Mytilus edulis: one gene and its partner. The protein of the gene in region 2 purifies or fractionates together with the protein of the main gene of each other region. This does not show direct contact. Links are inferred from orthologs where the notes say so. Each region holds a gene or a part of one and is shown on either strand. Other genes may lie near its edges.

Region 1 (7,537 bases), on a different chromosome or scaffold from region 2:
ATCAACATTATCTAATGTGATTGGACTGTAAAAATTTTATCGTTTTTGTCGCCTTTCTTTTTAAAAATCAAATTTATTACGCTATGTCTCATTGAACGTGACAACTGACGTTCACATAGTAACTACTTAGACCACTCGGCTACCGAGGCCTCTAGTGAAAGTACATCATATTTGTAGCAAAAACTGAAGTCAAAGGATGATGCTCAAATGAAAGAAAAGTATCTAAACCACGTTTTCCCGAATTGTTTTGTTGTATTGATAAATGAATGGGATACTATCATCTTCGCCATGAGACAAAACATTTCAATAATCATCACTAGAGTGTCATGAACACGAAGACATTTGTATATGTGCGAGTTTTTTACTTTCCCGATGTACAACAATAACGGTTTCATTTAAAACGTTGATCTAAAAATATTATATAATGTTTTTGGGTAGTGTGACTTAATCAAATTTCAAAATGAAGACATTTCACTGTTTTAAAAAGCGTCGAATTAAATGTCAGAAATTCTAAAACATAAATGTAAGACAGAATAAAAAAAATAAATAAATGTTATGAAACAATGTTAACAAATGTACATAATGTAATTTGTTTGATGTATGATATCAATAAATTAAACAATGAAAAACTATGGAACGCCACAGCTGTCTTATGTGTAACTCTGATATCACTTAATGATATTTTGTCTCTACTTAATATGGTTTTGAAATTACGTAATGATGTTTTAATATAACTCAATATGGAAGAGTCATTACTTAATGATATTTCGATATTACACGATATGGTTTCGTATTGACTTGATATAGTTTTGTCATTACTCAATACGGTTTTGTCATTACTAGATGTGGTTTCACCATTATTTAATATAGTTGTGTCATTAGTCAATGTGGTTTTAACATTACTTGATGTGTATGTGACTTAACGTAATGAAGTTGTTTCATTACATGATGTGGTTTTGTTATTTCGTAACGATGATTTGTCTATTCTTCATATGGTTTTAACATTACGTAATGATGTTTCCAAATTTGACGATTTTACACTACTTGATGTGTTTGTTTCATTATTTGATGTGGTCAGAGTCATATAATACAAGAGATTGGCAACTCGTCGAAATCCCGTAATATCACACGGCCAGATTTAAACCTCGCAAGATCTCTTTGGGTAATGGAGTCATTATCAAAGTATTAAAAGCACTCGAAGTAAGGGTGAATGTTTAAGCATAAATTATAACTGTTTCGGTGTTAAATTTAACATAATTAATTAAATAATTAGAGTTCATACATAATTATTTATTTCAATGTCATTTTAATTTTGATTTGTATTATTTGTATTATTGAAAAAGAAACATAATTTGATATTGAATTAAAAATAAAAACGATATTAAATAATAAGCACTTAATAAATTGTATCAGGGTTTATTTTATTTGATAGCTTCATAATGGGTTTCTATCAAATATACACCTGTCTCGGAGACATAATTTCACAGTGTGACATGTATATTAGGCTAGATTCGATGGTCAGGTAAATCACAACCTGTTAAAAGGAGTTTTATTTGACACCTGGTACACAAGAAGTTGTTACTACACCACAGGTGTCCACACTCTTTCTGAAAATGGGCAGAATCAATTTGCGCCAATTGCAGTTTTGAAAAGGTATTAATTGCGCCACTCTCTTTTATTTTGATGGTATTAATTGCGCCACATTTACCTGTTAATATTTTTTACCTATATCATACCTGTACATGTTTTACCTACCACATGTCCCCATTCAAATTTATTGATCTTCAAAAAAAAAGGGGGGGCTGGATCCGCCAATGGGAAGGTGTTTACAAAAGGTAAACGGACAGAAAGTCACAGGACATAAAGTCACAAATTTGGTAGGACAAAAAGTCACAAATAATCTGTTGACAATTGTTTGTATATATAAGAGAAATATCTTTAAATATTTACTTTTTAATACATGTATTCATATTAAAGTTTAATAAATGTGTCATTATATTTGAAAAATGAAGATTTTTGAAATTTTAATCATGCAAAAGAAAGATTTCTTGGCAGCATGAAGCCATTTAAGTGCCAAACCAGTTTGACACTTTGTTTTTTTAACAATTGTTTGATCATCTTTGATATGTTTTTGATAATTTGAGTTTACAAAGTTGGTTTATATACAATAGTTTAAGAATAGAAATAAGCAATTTTTGTTCAAAGAAAATAATCAGAAAAAATAAATTGTGACTTTTTGTCCTGTGACTTTCTGAAACTGTCATACATTCATACGATAAGAGTATTGGAATAACTGCATGAACTGAAATCAGAAAAGTAAAGACAAGAGGAAACAATTTATCAAAATATCAAGATTGGAGAATGATGGGGTGCTAAAATAAATAAAGAATAGAGAATAATGGGCAACATTTATAAAGAAAAGAGGAATATATTGGGAATGTGTACATGTCCATGGTATACAAATATATGCCCTGCTGATCTTGTTTTAACAAGATAACATTTGGAATTAATACAGGCTCATTAAATTGCATATTTATTCGATAATTTCAAAGTTTTATGAAAAAAAGGTAATTCTCGCATAGCTGGATTTGGGTCATGTGGGTATCAATGTGAAAAAAATAAATCACCTTTGATGGTATTTTATGAAAACACTATTTGATCAAAATATACGAAAATAGTATCATTTTAACGGGATAACAATCGGGAGTAAAATAACACTATAAAATTGCATATATAATCGTAAATTTCTAAGTTTTATGAAGAAAAAAAATGGTGGGCCACACCGGTTCTACAGCAATAAAGAGGGGAAGCTGAATGGACCAAATTTAAATTGGTCTGCATTTGATTATTATCATCATCTTTGCACATTATAGTATAAACAAATTGGTAGAACTAGTTCGATGTATCTTTTGAATATACTTACATGCTTTGGCTGTGAAAACAATCGACATAAACGAGAAAACAAATCTGTAAGCGTATCGTCTCTCTTAACAACAATGGCGGAATTTTCTCTTTATCATCCCAGGTCACATTATAATCCCAATCACGTCCGGTCTCACGTGATTTCATTTATCGTTACTTGGATTTTACTAGAGTTGCGAATCTCTTGTATTATATGTCTCTGATGTGGTCTTGTCATTCTTTGATGTGGTCCTGTCATTCTTTGATGTGGTTATCCCAATACTTGATGAGGTAAAACCACGTGACCAGGTGACCAATTCGGAAAAACCTGTTCTATTTTTAGATAGATGTCCATGTTGTATGTGCCATGCGTGTGGCCATCTATCTAATTAGTGTTCAAATTAAAGTTCGGGTTACTGTTTGAGTTAAAATTTGAGCTAGTTAAGTTATGCTTAGAATTAAAGTTCTAGTTAGCATTGAGTTTCGAGTTTGACTCACATTTTAAGGCAGAGTTATAGTTACAACTTTGAATTTGAGTCACTTCTTGAATTAGAGTTTTAGTAAGATTCGAATTTAAGTCTCATTTAGATTAATTAAGATTTTTAGTTAAAATTCGAGGTATTTTATATGTATTTTTGGGTTCGTAATTAAATTTTCTATCGCGAAACAAGGGTTTTTGCTCGGGCTTCAGAAAAGAGCGCTCCGGGATATGGTACTAAATAAAACAATATTGCAGTATATAAAATGCAACATTGGAGTTGAAATAAAGTTAGATGTGGTGTGATTGCCAATGAGACAACTATCCACAAGAGTTTAAATGCAGTGGGTGTAAAAAAAATCATACATAGGCAACATTGTTTATTTAGTCCGCATATCCCGGAGCCCTTCTTTTCGGAAGCCCGAGCAAAAGCCCTTGTTTCGCGATAGAAAATTTAATTACGAACTCAAAAAGACATATAAAATAAATATACTTCATGATGTATTTAAATGAGTAGTTATTGTTGCAAACTCCACTTTACATGAAATTTGAAATGAGATTATTTTTGGAATAAGGGAACAGGGGAAGTGAGAAAAAAAATGGGGAGGGGGTATAGAATTTTTCTTATTTCAGATTTCAGAAATTAAAAAGAATTTTTCTTCAAATATTTCTTTTTTAGGGGATTAATATTCAACTGCATAGTATATTGCTCAAAAGCAAAAAAAAATAAGTTCATTAGATCACATTTATTCTGTGTCAGAAACCTTTGCTGTGTCCACTATTTAATCACATTCCAAACTCTGAGCTGTATCAAGCTTGAATGTTGTGTCCATACTTGCCCCATCTGTTCATGGTTCGACCTCTGCGGTCGTATAAAGCTGCGCCCTGTGGAGCATCTGCTTTTTTTAGGGGAGGACAACCATTTCTTGACAGTTTAATCTCGAATCAAAACATTAATTTCTCTATAAATACATGTATGTGTCTTTTACAAAGGATAGAAGTGATACAAATGTTCTGTGAAATTTAAAATTGTTTCACAATTTCATCGGCTAGTATTTGAGATTTAAAAGTGGCTGTTAACAGTGATTTGCTAGAGTCAAACATCTTTTCGGTCATTAGTTATATTTATAGCAAAAGTACCTCCACATGTAAAATTCTGTGTAAATTGAAAGTAGACGATCGATTGCCAAACTATTATTACTAAAATGTCGTCAAACGAAGAATCGACACTTTTTGCTATTTATACACTCGGATATACATTTTTTAGTCTGGTAATGATAGCACCACCTACTGAATTTGTGGCTGCCGGTTTGACAGTTCAAAATATGTTGGCAAGTTTCCTTGGGAGTGAAGAACTTGGTTTTATCTACTTTCACATAAAAAGAACAGCTGCGACACTGTTGATTCATTCATGTTTTCCATTAGGTAACCATATACAAGTGTTGCTTTTCATTCACTTATATGTGCAGGGTCGGATCCAGCCATTTATTTTAAGAAAAAAGGGGAAGGGTTCCAAACCATAACGGACCAGATAAGTTAGATAAGATAAGATATATATTATATTTTTCTTTTTTTCCAATTAAAGGCCCATAGGGGTATTGATATTAATTAATGTCAAAATAAAAGGAGGTTCCAACACCGACCCCGGTGAACCCCTAACCCCAATCTAATTAAAAACCGATCTCTCATCGCTCTTGTTTCTGATATGTCGCGTGGGAGATCTAACGAAACCCGCTTTGAGGTCACATGTGAGTGACCTCGTAGGTGTGTCTTTTTCGACCAATGAAATTGAGTCTTCCACGATCTTGGAAGTTTAACGTAAGGCAAAGGGATTTAACTCATTTTATTTACGACGAAATCGTCAGTCATAATAATTCATAAACTTTTTTGATTGGCTTATTAATAGGTCGTCAACTCATTTGCATATCTTTATAAATTCATGACTTTTAGTTCACTCACATGTGACCTCAAAGCCGGTGTCGTTAGATCTCCCACGCGACATATCAGAAACAGAAGCGATGAGAGATCGGTTTTTAATTAGATTGCCCTAACCCCCCCCCCCCCCCCCCCCCCCTTGAGCTGCCACTGAGGTGATGGGTACATCTTAACTGGTTTTATCAAGAGACATATCATAGATTTTATTTGTATCAATATATATATAGCTAGGGTTTTATTCAGGATCATGTACCCTTTTTTTGTTTCAGTACTGAACCTGAGATTTTATTTATGTCTAGCTAAATATTTGGAGATGTTATAGAAAAACCACAGCCCTTCCTCTTGTACTCCTATATTTGACAGTTTTGTATTTGATAAAATAGGGAATTACTGCATGCAGTGCTAGCAGTGAATTCCTTAAAACAAGTACAAACTTGTACCAATTCAAGTACACCATTATGGTGTGCTCAACTTAAGTAATTCAGTGGAGGTATTTTTTATTGGTTGTTTAGGATTATTTTGGTAACCATAAACATAAGCACAACATGTTCAAAAAATAAAGTGAGCAGTCTGTTTGAAATGTTATAGAGACAAATCAATTTATGTATTAAACATGTTAAAAGTGATAATGTCTGGATTTTCTGTAAATACCTTGGCTTGATTTGCAATAAAATCCTTATTTTCTCTTTAATGCAATGAAACAATCAATTGTATTGCTGTCAGCAATGTTAACGTTTAGGTGTCTGGTATAAATGTAGTTCAAATAATTATGACGTCTGGCAAGGCTATTTTATTTATTTTCTGGGACGACTTCCCAAAAAGAAAAAAAATAGCCTTGCCAGACGTCATAATTATTTGGACTAGTATAAATGTACAAAATTCCAAGTCTCTTATATTTAGAATTTTTATTGTTATATTAATAGACTTTACGGGAAGGATTGTGCCTGATGTTCATATGATGAAATCATAATCTTTCAGTCAGTTTAATTGAAGTCTGGAGCTGGCATGTCAGTTAACTACTAGTATTCTGTTGTTATTTATGTATTATTGTCATTTTGTTTATTTTCTTTGGTTACATCTTCTGACATCAGACTCGGACTTCTCTTGAACTGAATTTTAATCTGCGTATTGTTATGCGTTTACTTTTCTACATTGGTTAGAGGTATAGGGGGAGGGTTGAGATCTCACAAACATGTTTAACCCCGCCGCATTTTTGCGCCTGTCCCAAGTCAGGAGCCTCTGGCCTTTGTTAGTCTTGTATTATTTTAATTTTAGTTTCTTGTGTACAATTAGGAAATTAGTATGGCGTTCATTATCACTGGACTAGTATATATTTGTTTAGGGGCCAGCTGAAGGACGCCTCCGGGTGTGGGAATTTCTCGCTACATTGAAGACCTATTGGTGACCCTCTGCTGTTGTTTTTTATTTGGTCGGGTTGTTGTCTCTTTGACACATTCCCCATTTCCATTCTCATTTTTATTTTAACATTTGTAATACACAACACCATTTTAACCTTGATAAAAAATTATTAGTAATCAATATTATAAACAAAAGGTTAAAGGCAGGGTTATCATGGTTATAAGTCTTGTTTGCAATGTGTTTTATTGATTAGATTAAAGTATACATATTATAGTATAAATTAAAGTGGCACAATTTTTTTTTCATTTCAGGTTATTTTCTAGGACTGAGATATGTCTCGCCTCTTCAACATCTTTATTGGTTTCCTTACTTTGCATGGTATTGGCAGATATATTTGACAATTAGCCTCTTTATTATTATAATTGCATCAGCTGTTGTGTTTTACTGGTCTACAGACAATTGGTCCAGACATCCGATTGCTAAAGAACTTAGTTATCTTACTAATAATGCTGGAAGTTGGAGAGCAGTGGCATCCTCTATAAATGTTGAGTTCCGCCGTTTTGACAAATTTACATCCGGCCCACATGGAAGAAGAGTCATTGTCACAGACTCATGGGTTATGAAAACATCCACATATTTTTTAAATATAACGCATCAAAATGATATTCATCTAACTTTATCCAAATCAGAGGAACACTCTCTTTCCTATGAAAGTATGACATCAGTGCAGTATTTAAATATCTCAGTAGTTAGTATCAACAAGAAAGTTACACCATTTCAAATCAGGCAAGTCAAGTAGTTAATATCGATTAGAAAGTTAAACCATTTTAAATCAGGCAAATCAAGTACTGTAGTTAGTAACAA
Region 2 (8,065 bases):
CATATTGATGCCACACTTGCGTCTTGATGTGTGCTCTGTTGAAAAACTAGTGTGTAAATTAGTCAACAATGTATGTTTTTTGACTGCTACATTTGTACATCATGAAATGATGCCATTAGAAATTTCTCTAGTATTTTTCTAAATTGAAATTCTGTATTTACATAATTATTAAACAGAATTGCTAAATGCTGTCTTATGCATGAACCACTGTTCAAACCACAGCATGACAATGAAAACAAAATTGCAATTTTTTTTGTCGTTTGTTGCTGTGTAACATATATGTTTTTTTATATTTTTTATATTTTTTTTTGTTCATTAATAAATCTGTCAGTTTTCTCATTGTTGTAGGCCGTACAGTGACCAATAGCTGTGAATTTCTGTGTCATTTGGTCTCTTCTGGAGAGTTGTCTCATTGGCAATCATATCACATCTTCTTTTTTTTTTATACAGATAGGACATATACATGTAAACAGTGCAGACAACTTGTTTGTAACATGAACTAGCACATATAAATGATATTTTTGTAGTAATAGTAAACATACCTGTTTCTATTCTGATAGAATAAGAATATAAGAAATAAAGGTTTATCAAATATGGGAATCCTGTTGGATAAAATAGTACAGCTGTCAATGGCCTCCAAAACTGAAAATAGATATCACAAAAGATACATTTTAGAACAATATTCATTTAGATTCAAAGTTTCTAATCACAATACCATTATTGTGAAAGTATAATTATCACAAAGTCATGAAAGTTAAACAGTAATATGAAACTAAAAAATTACATTAAAGTGATTCTTACAAATGTAGTTTGAATTCTAGTGGATGCTTTGGCTTTACCAATTCCAACTGCACGAGCATGATTTTTTTGGCTGTACAATGTATCTACAAATGCATATGCATTTTTGATGGTTTGTTATGATGAATCTTTTAAAGGTTTATAAAGTTACAAATATATGTGAATCTTTTGATTAATATTTGAGGAAACAAGTACAGAATGTTCAAAAAAAGGCTAATACAATCTAATCTACAATCTGTCAATAACTGTATCTTTTCATTGCACAATGTCATCTTTTTCTCAAACTGTTTATAATGTGGTCTTTACACTAAATCCATTGAATGATCGATGGATGTGTACTTATAGACAAATTAATTCAGTCTTAGATGCATGATTTTTTTATTAGTTGTAATTGCTGATTATAGTGGCTTTAAACAAGCTGAAATATTTGTTTTGTGATTAGATGATTAATCATTGATTGCAATTTATTTAAGATTGGGGCGCCAACTTAAATGGGGGCGAACAAAAATGAAAGCAATATGATTTCGGCCAAACCGATTTTGATTAAAAAATGTTGACCACAACTGGTACAAGTCTACTTGCATTCGGTAATAATTTATGTAGTGTTGGGGACCTGTCTATAGCTTAGTCGGAGATTACTCTGACGTCCAACGGCTGTTTTGCCAGACAAGCTGGGGCCGTGGGACGTCAGAGCTCGTCCCATATAAAAAAGTGGATATTTGCCCACCCAAAATAGATGCGCTGCTTCGTCGCTTCTGGTGCCGACTGGCGGCCTTGGAATTATATAAATCGGGCATCAATCTGTTCATTTTTCATTTATCTCTTCATTTATGTAAGTTTCACTTACCTGCCAACCTTTATTTTCCCATATATATTAACAGTTTTCATATTCTAACACCTCGTTCATTTACGATGCAAGTAATCTAAATGTCCGAGAGCTTCCGATTGTTATCGTGGTTGGCACGATTAAAATATGGAAAAATAAAGGTTTCCATATTTTAACAGTTTTCACAGAGACCCATCCATTCAGACATTTTTCTTTTGTTTTCAAATGGACTTCAAGTTACGAGGGATTTTGCGACCTCGAGACTCAAATATGCAAATAATTATACTTTTATCACCTCCTTTATATATAGGAGATCGATATTTAACATTTAGTAACCAACCACAACTTTTCGCCTCCTTTACAGGAGATCGGTATTTAGCATTTAGTGCCAACCACGATAACAATCGGAAGCCCTCGGACATTTAGATTACTTGCATCGTAAATGAATGAGGTGTTAGAATATGGTCATTTGCATAAATCATCACTTGTTTTCTCGTGGTCACGTGATAATCTTTAAAAATGAAAGTCAAAATGCAGAAATCGATGGGTCTCTGTGAAAACTGTTAATATATATGGGAAAATAAAGGTTGGCAGGTAAGTGAAACTTACATAAATGAAGAGATAAATGAAAAATGAACAGATTGATGCCCGATTTATATGATTCCAAGGCCGCCAGTCGGCACCAGAAGCGACGAAGCAGCGCATCTATTTTGGGTGGGCAAATATCCACTTTTTGATATGGGACAAGCTCTGACGTCCCACGGCCCCAGCTTGTCTGGCAAAACAGCCGTTGGACGTCAGAGTAATCTCCGACTATCTATAGCTATACACCTTATTGCTATATATATGTCCACTATTACTGGATATCACACAGGTTCCCGTAAAATTTTAATGTCATAAACAAAATATCTGACTCCACAATGGAAAAGTGATTGTTGTATACGTCAAAAGTTCAAGCGGCCTGTTCACCCAGGATTAGCGATAAGGTGTATAAAGGCTAGCAATTATGCAAATGTCAAATCACAAAAACTCAAATGTAATACTAATTCATTGTACCTGAAATTTGTAAATTAAGGATTCATAATGTAGAAACAACCACATAGGATTCAGAAGTCCCAACTTCGCTGCTATTGGTATAATAACTGATCCTGAAAACCACCATTTCGTTATTTTCGGAATACTGCGGTACCAATCCCCGATATCATTCGAGGACATCTTGTTTCTTTAATGAAGTTTCAGTATATCAAATCATCAATTGTCATTAAGACACAACTCTACTTTATATATTTAAACCGTGTAAATCTGACGTGGCTTTCGCTCAAAAAGTTGATTATCACCGGAAGTAAACATTCATCGGTTAGCTCGGGACTTTTCTCTGACGAAATCTCTTAAACCCAAAAGTTTACAAAAGTATAAATTTTTCATATATTAATTTATAAAACGAATTAATATTAAGAGATACCTATATTTTCTTTTTTCGAATATAACATGTATCTTCAATGTATTTATAAGGTAGAACTTTAAATGAATTGATATTTAAGGCTAGATGAGATTCTATAATCACTGCAATGATGAACTTAATTTACCGCAGAGTTCGTATTTTTATGAATTTAAAAAATCTATAATTTTATAAAAGCGCGACAAATCAAAACATGTTTGGTCCCGAAAAATAGTAAACATCACTGTTTATTAGAAGAGCAATACTAACCACACTTAATGAAGCTGCAATGCTAATAAGTTAGGGAAGCAAAATTCAAAATTTACAGGGTATGAAATATGATAAGATAAGATAAGATAACTTTATTAGCACTAACACATTGACAATAAATGGTTATGGCAACAAATTAAAGACTAACTACAATAACATATATATACAATGAAGGAGTGACAGTGGATAATTATGAGAGAAATATATAAAAAATAAATGAGAAGCATAATATACATTATTACAAAAATCAAGTACCTTTTAATAATGAGTTTCTCACCAACAAGCATTCATTCAAATAGTTGACAACAATTTTTAATATTGTTTGGGAATTACTATTTAGAATTGATATAAGTAAGTTATATGATAAGGAAGAAAATTTGTTGTTCAATAGAACATTATTTAATTTTTTAATAAGGTTATCTCTCACATATTTATAGGAGGAACATTTTAAAAGAAAGTGAAGTTCATCTTCAATGTCTTCATTGTTACAGCAAAGACATACCCTATTCTGCTTTGGTATTTTTAGATATCGCCCTCTTTCAATAGATAAAGTATGAGCACTTAACCTCAATTTACATAATGTTGATCTATCACTTTTGGATTTGCATTGATCAACATACGAGGGTCTTTTATTTGGTTTATAAAGTATATTAAAAAAGTTCATTTTTTTATTTTGATTGATGTCAGTCTCTTGCTTTTGGAAGGCTATATCATTGATTCTCTCTTGAATGTGTTTTAAATACATCTTAATATCAATAGGATTTAGATTAATAAAATGAAAACCAAGTCTTGAAAGGAGATTTTTCATATTTATTATCCAAGAGTTATTTTTTTCAGTTGCTTTATATATTTTTAGGGCAAGTGAATTATTTGATTCAAGTATATGAAGCCAATATTTTATTGCTGAAAATTCTATTCTGGTATATAAAGGCAATCTATTTAGCTCGGCTAAACATGCAGCATTTGATGCTTTACAATGTATTCCTAGAATTTCTTTAATAAATTTATACTGCAAGTGTTCAAAGGGATCTGAATCCCTGTGTTGTTTGCCTATTCCCCATACTTCACTTCCGTATAGAGCAATAGGCACAACTAGGGAGTCAAATAATTTTTCTAATAGCTTGCATTGGTTATTTAGTCCAATTGTTTTTTTTATTTTAAAAAGTGCTTTTCTACCCTTTTCAACAAGCAATGAGCTGCACAGATTTAGATTTCCTGTGTGCTGCAATATGTAATATCAAAGCAAAAAATCTATATCAATTTGGAAGTCCAAAATTTACCTGTTATCCTAACAATTACAAGTCCCTTTAATATAAAGAACTTACACTGTTTTAGACAAGCTTTATCAATCAGCCGTTCGACTATAGTCAGATGGGTATTGGGTTTGTCCACCCTATTTACATGTTCGCCCTGAGTTCATTTGTGCCCATCGAGTCGGTTTGCCCTTGGATACACCTTATCGCTATTTAGTCCATTCCGAGAAAAACAGTCATTTATACAACTCCCTGTTTTGGGTCACCGGCCGAAAAATGGAGGTCATCAGTAGTGAGCTGAGGGAGAAAAAACTTTAGAAAGTGATTATCAAGAAACTTTGATATAGTATGATCCACTTTTTTCGAAATTAAAATTAAAGTAAAAAAATATTTTGTTTGAAGTATTTACGGTAGTTTAAACAGGTCTCATTAAAAAGTATCATGCATGGTGCATTGTTCAAACAGGGTCCCAGATAACTTCAACTGGATGAAAAAGTTGTGTAATTTTAGAACTTATCCGGAATGGAATAAATAGCGATTAGGTGTATTGTTCTCCTTAGGGGGTATCACTGGGGGTTCTGATCCCGCTTACTGTTTTGTCAGATTCCTGTATCCCGCTTACAGTATATACATTAGCAATTCTAATTTTTTTGTAATTTCCCTGTGTTCTGCTAGACTTCGTTTCCTGTCTTCATGGCACAATAATTTGACTTTCACGTGTCACGCTTACAAAAAATCAGCAATCCTGTGTCATGCTTACAAAAAATCAGCAATCCTGTGTCACGCTTAGATCCCAATGAGACCAACTCCTTACTTTAAAAAAAAAAGTTTAATATTAAGGAGATTAAGCATGTTAAAGGTTAATAAACTTATTCAGATATTTAAATGGTATACATTCTTGAAATTAATGACAACACGTTGAATATTTAAAAGTTGATGGCTTGTTTTGAAGCATTAATTATTGGCAGTGGCTATTTGACCGGCACCGGCAAAATAGCAAATTTGCTATTTGACTGGCACCGGCTAAATAGCAAATTTGCTATTTAGCCGGCACTAAATAAAACTGTTCATTGATGTGATTAGTGGAGAATAAAAAAGCTTTATAATAATAATTTAAAATCATTTTATCACAATATCAAGCATTTAAAATATTAAAGTACAATAAAAAATAAAAGATTTTCATAAATAAATAATTTATAACTTTATAACATTAATTAAAAGCATGAAAACACATTTGTAAATACATTTTTTAAATATATTTTTTCTAAAATATTTATAACAAAATGTTGATTTTCAAATTTAAATCTGTGTAAAAGGAGGATTTTGAAAATAAATAACTCGGCCTTGATAATCACAAAAATAAATGGTTTGTTCTGTGGTAGTTTGAAAATAAATTGCCTGACTTGCAATGTATAGAAAATGAATAACTCAGCAGGTCTAATGGAAAGTATGAGATGGCACCAGATTCTTCATCAATTCATCTTTTTCCCCCAAAAAAATCGTGAAACACTTCACAAATTTTTTAATAACAAAAGTATAAATATTATTTAAATATACTTGAAATTTCTGAAAATTGGTTTCATTTAACTTGAGGTATATTGTCTCAGGAAACATACCTCACTTTTATTTAAACAGGGCCGTAACTACATGTAGAAAATTTCAAAACCAAACGCTTGTCTCCATATCAAATTGTGTTCACGACCTTGCAAGAAGAAAGTTCTGTTTTCCCTCAGACTTATAGCCCTGATTTTTCGGGATCAATGTTTCTTATTTATTTGTCTTTTGTTCATTGATTGCCCTTCTGTATTCTGTTAGTGTTGCATTTCTTTTGTAATCTAGTAATTTTGTTATGAACTTGATCATGAGTTTAAAAAAAAAACCAGCAGCCATAGGCTTAACTATGCGAATTCCATTTTTGCTTTATCATGCACATTGGTCTTTTGATGTTGTCCCTAGAAATTTCAGTCTAACTCTGAATTTATACATTTTGCTTTGAGACCAAAATATTGTCAAACAAGAATGTGTCCAAAGTACACGGATGCCCCACTCACACTATCCTGTTCCATGGACCGTGAAATTGGGTAATAATCTAATTTGGCATTAAAATTAGAAAGATTATACTATAGGGAACATATTGTACTAAGTTTCAAGTTGATTGGGCTTCAATTTCATCAAAAACTACCTTGACCAAAAACTTTAACCTGAAACTCCTACTTTCATTTTCTATGTTTATTGGACCGTGAAATTGGAATCAAAAGTCTAATTTGGCTTTAAAATTTGAAAGATCATATCATAAGCAACAGTGTCCTAAGTTTCAAGTTGATTGGACTTCAGCTTCATCAAAAGCTACCTTGACCAAAAACTTTAACCTGAACGGACGCACAGACGAACGAACGGACGGACGGACGAACGAACAGATGCACAGACCAGAAAACATAATGCCCCTCTACTAGTGTAGGTTGGGCATAAAAATTATTTAAACAAAACTTAATTTTCAGATTATCAAAGGGTCTTCGGAACATCCAGAAAGCATGATTTTGCATCATTTGTTCTATAGCTTCTTGGGCCTTCAGTGGATCCAAAACCCTTCAAAAAAAATTTCGAATATAAAAAATATAGTTGTAAAAATGAATAATCAGTCCCTTGCTTTAATTAAAATGAAAAATCTTGCTTCAACGGTGCAGAAAATGAATAATCTGTCCTCTTAGTTTACAAAAATAAATAACCGATCAAAAACAAATCCTCCTGCCCCCCCCACCCCCCAGAATATCAAATGGTCGTCCCCTTAAGTGTTTATATGAGCAACAGTAACAAATGTTTTTAGATAGAAAATTTTGATATTTAATTATTATTCTTAAATTTTAATTCCAGTTAGATATGATTTAATCAGAGCCGGCTAAATAGCAAATTTGCTATTTTGCCGGTGCCGGTCAAATAGCAAATTTGCTATTTTGCCAGTGCCGGTCAAATAGCAAATTTGCTATTTTGCCGTTGCCAGTCAAATAGCCACTGCCTTAATTATTTGTTTGATTTATAGAAAACTAAATCATTTTTTGAATGGATAAAAACAATACTCTTAAGATTTTCCTATGGTGTTCACTTGATATCCATTGAGAATACTGGTAAGTTTACTCACAGCACCAATGAGTGTACACAGATCTTATCTAAATTTACAGGCTTTACAAACAACATTACTGGAAAAAAAATAGGATGTGATGCAAGTTATTTAAGATAGAATTAAACTGCATTTGTTCACAGTTCAATGATTTTCCTAAATTATTTTTAAAAAAGCTGTTATATATATATATATGTATATATATACATACATAAAGTGCCTAGAAAATCAACCTAACGATGTTAGAGTAGATTTGATTCGTAACTTCCTCCCCGGCGCCGGGGCTGGAACCTGTACTTTTTATTTTTAACTTCTACGACAACACCGCCTAGCATTGCACGGAGACCTTATCCCCCTCCTCTAAC

The links. Proteins that work in one complex are often made in the same cells at the same time.
Region 1: the proteins of derlin-1-like (region 2) and E3 ubiquitin-protein ligase TM129-like purify together in Homo sapiens (affinity purification with western blotting; 3 studies listed by BioGRID). This does not show direct contact. The link is inferred for Mytilus edulis from reciprocal best matches to the Homo sapiens genes DERL1 and TMEM129.

Annotation. Positions count from the first base shown.
Region 1 is NC_092347.1:90,629,559-90,637,095, reverse strand, and holds the start of E3 ubiquitin-protein ligase TM129-like, read left to right. Parts: upstream 1-4,495; 5' UTR 4,496-4,584; coding exon 4,585-4,804; intron 4,805-6,984; coding exon 6,985-7,459; intron 7,460-7,537.
Region 2 is NC_092348.1:63,047,849-63,055,913, reverse strand, and holds the start of derlin-1-like, read right to left. Parts: upstream 3,048-8,065; 5' UTR 2,840-3,047; coding exon 2,681-2,839; intron 643-2,680; coding exon 543-642; intron 1-542. UniProt on the Homo sapiens protein: Functional component of endoplasmic reticulum-associated degradation (ERAD) for misfolded lumenal proteins. Forms homotetramers which encircle a large channel traversing the endoplasmic reticulum (ER) membrane.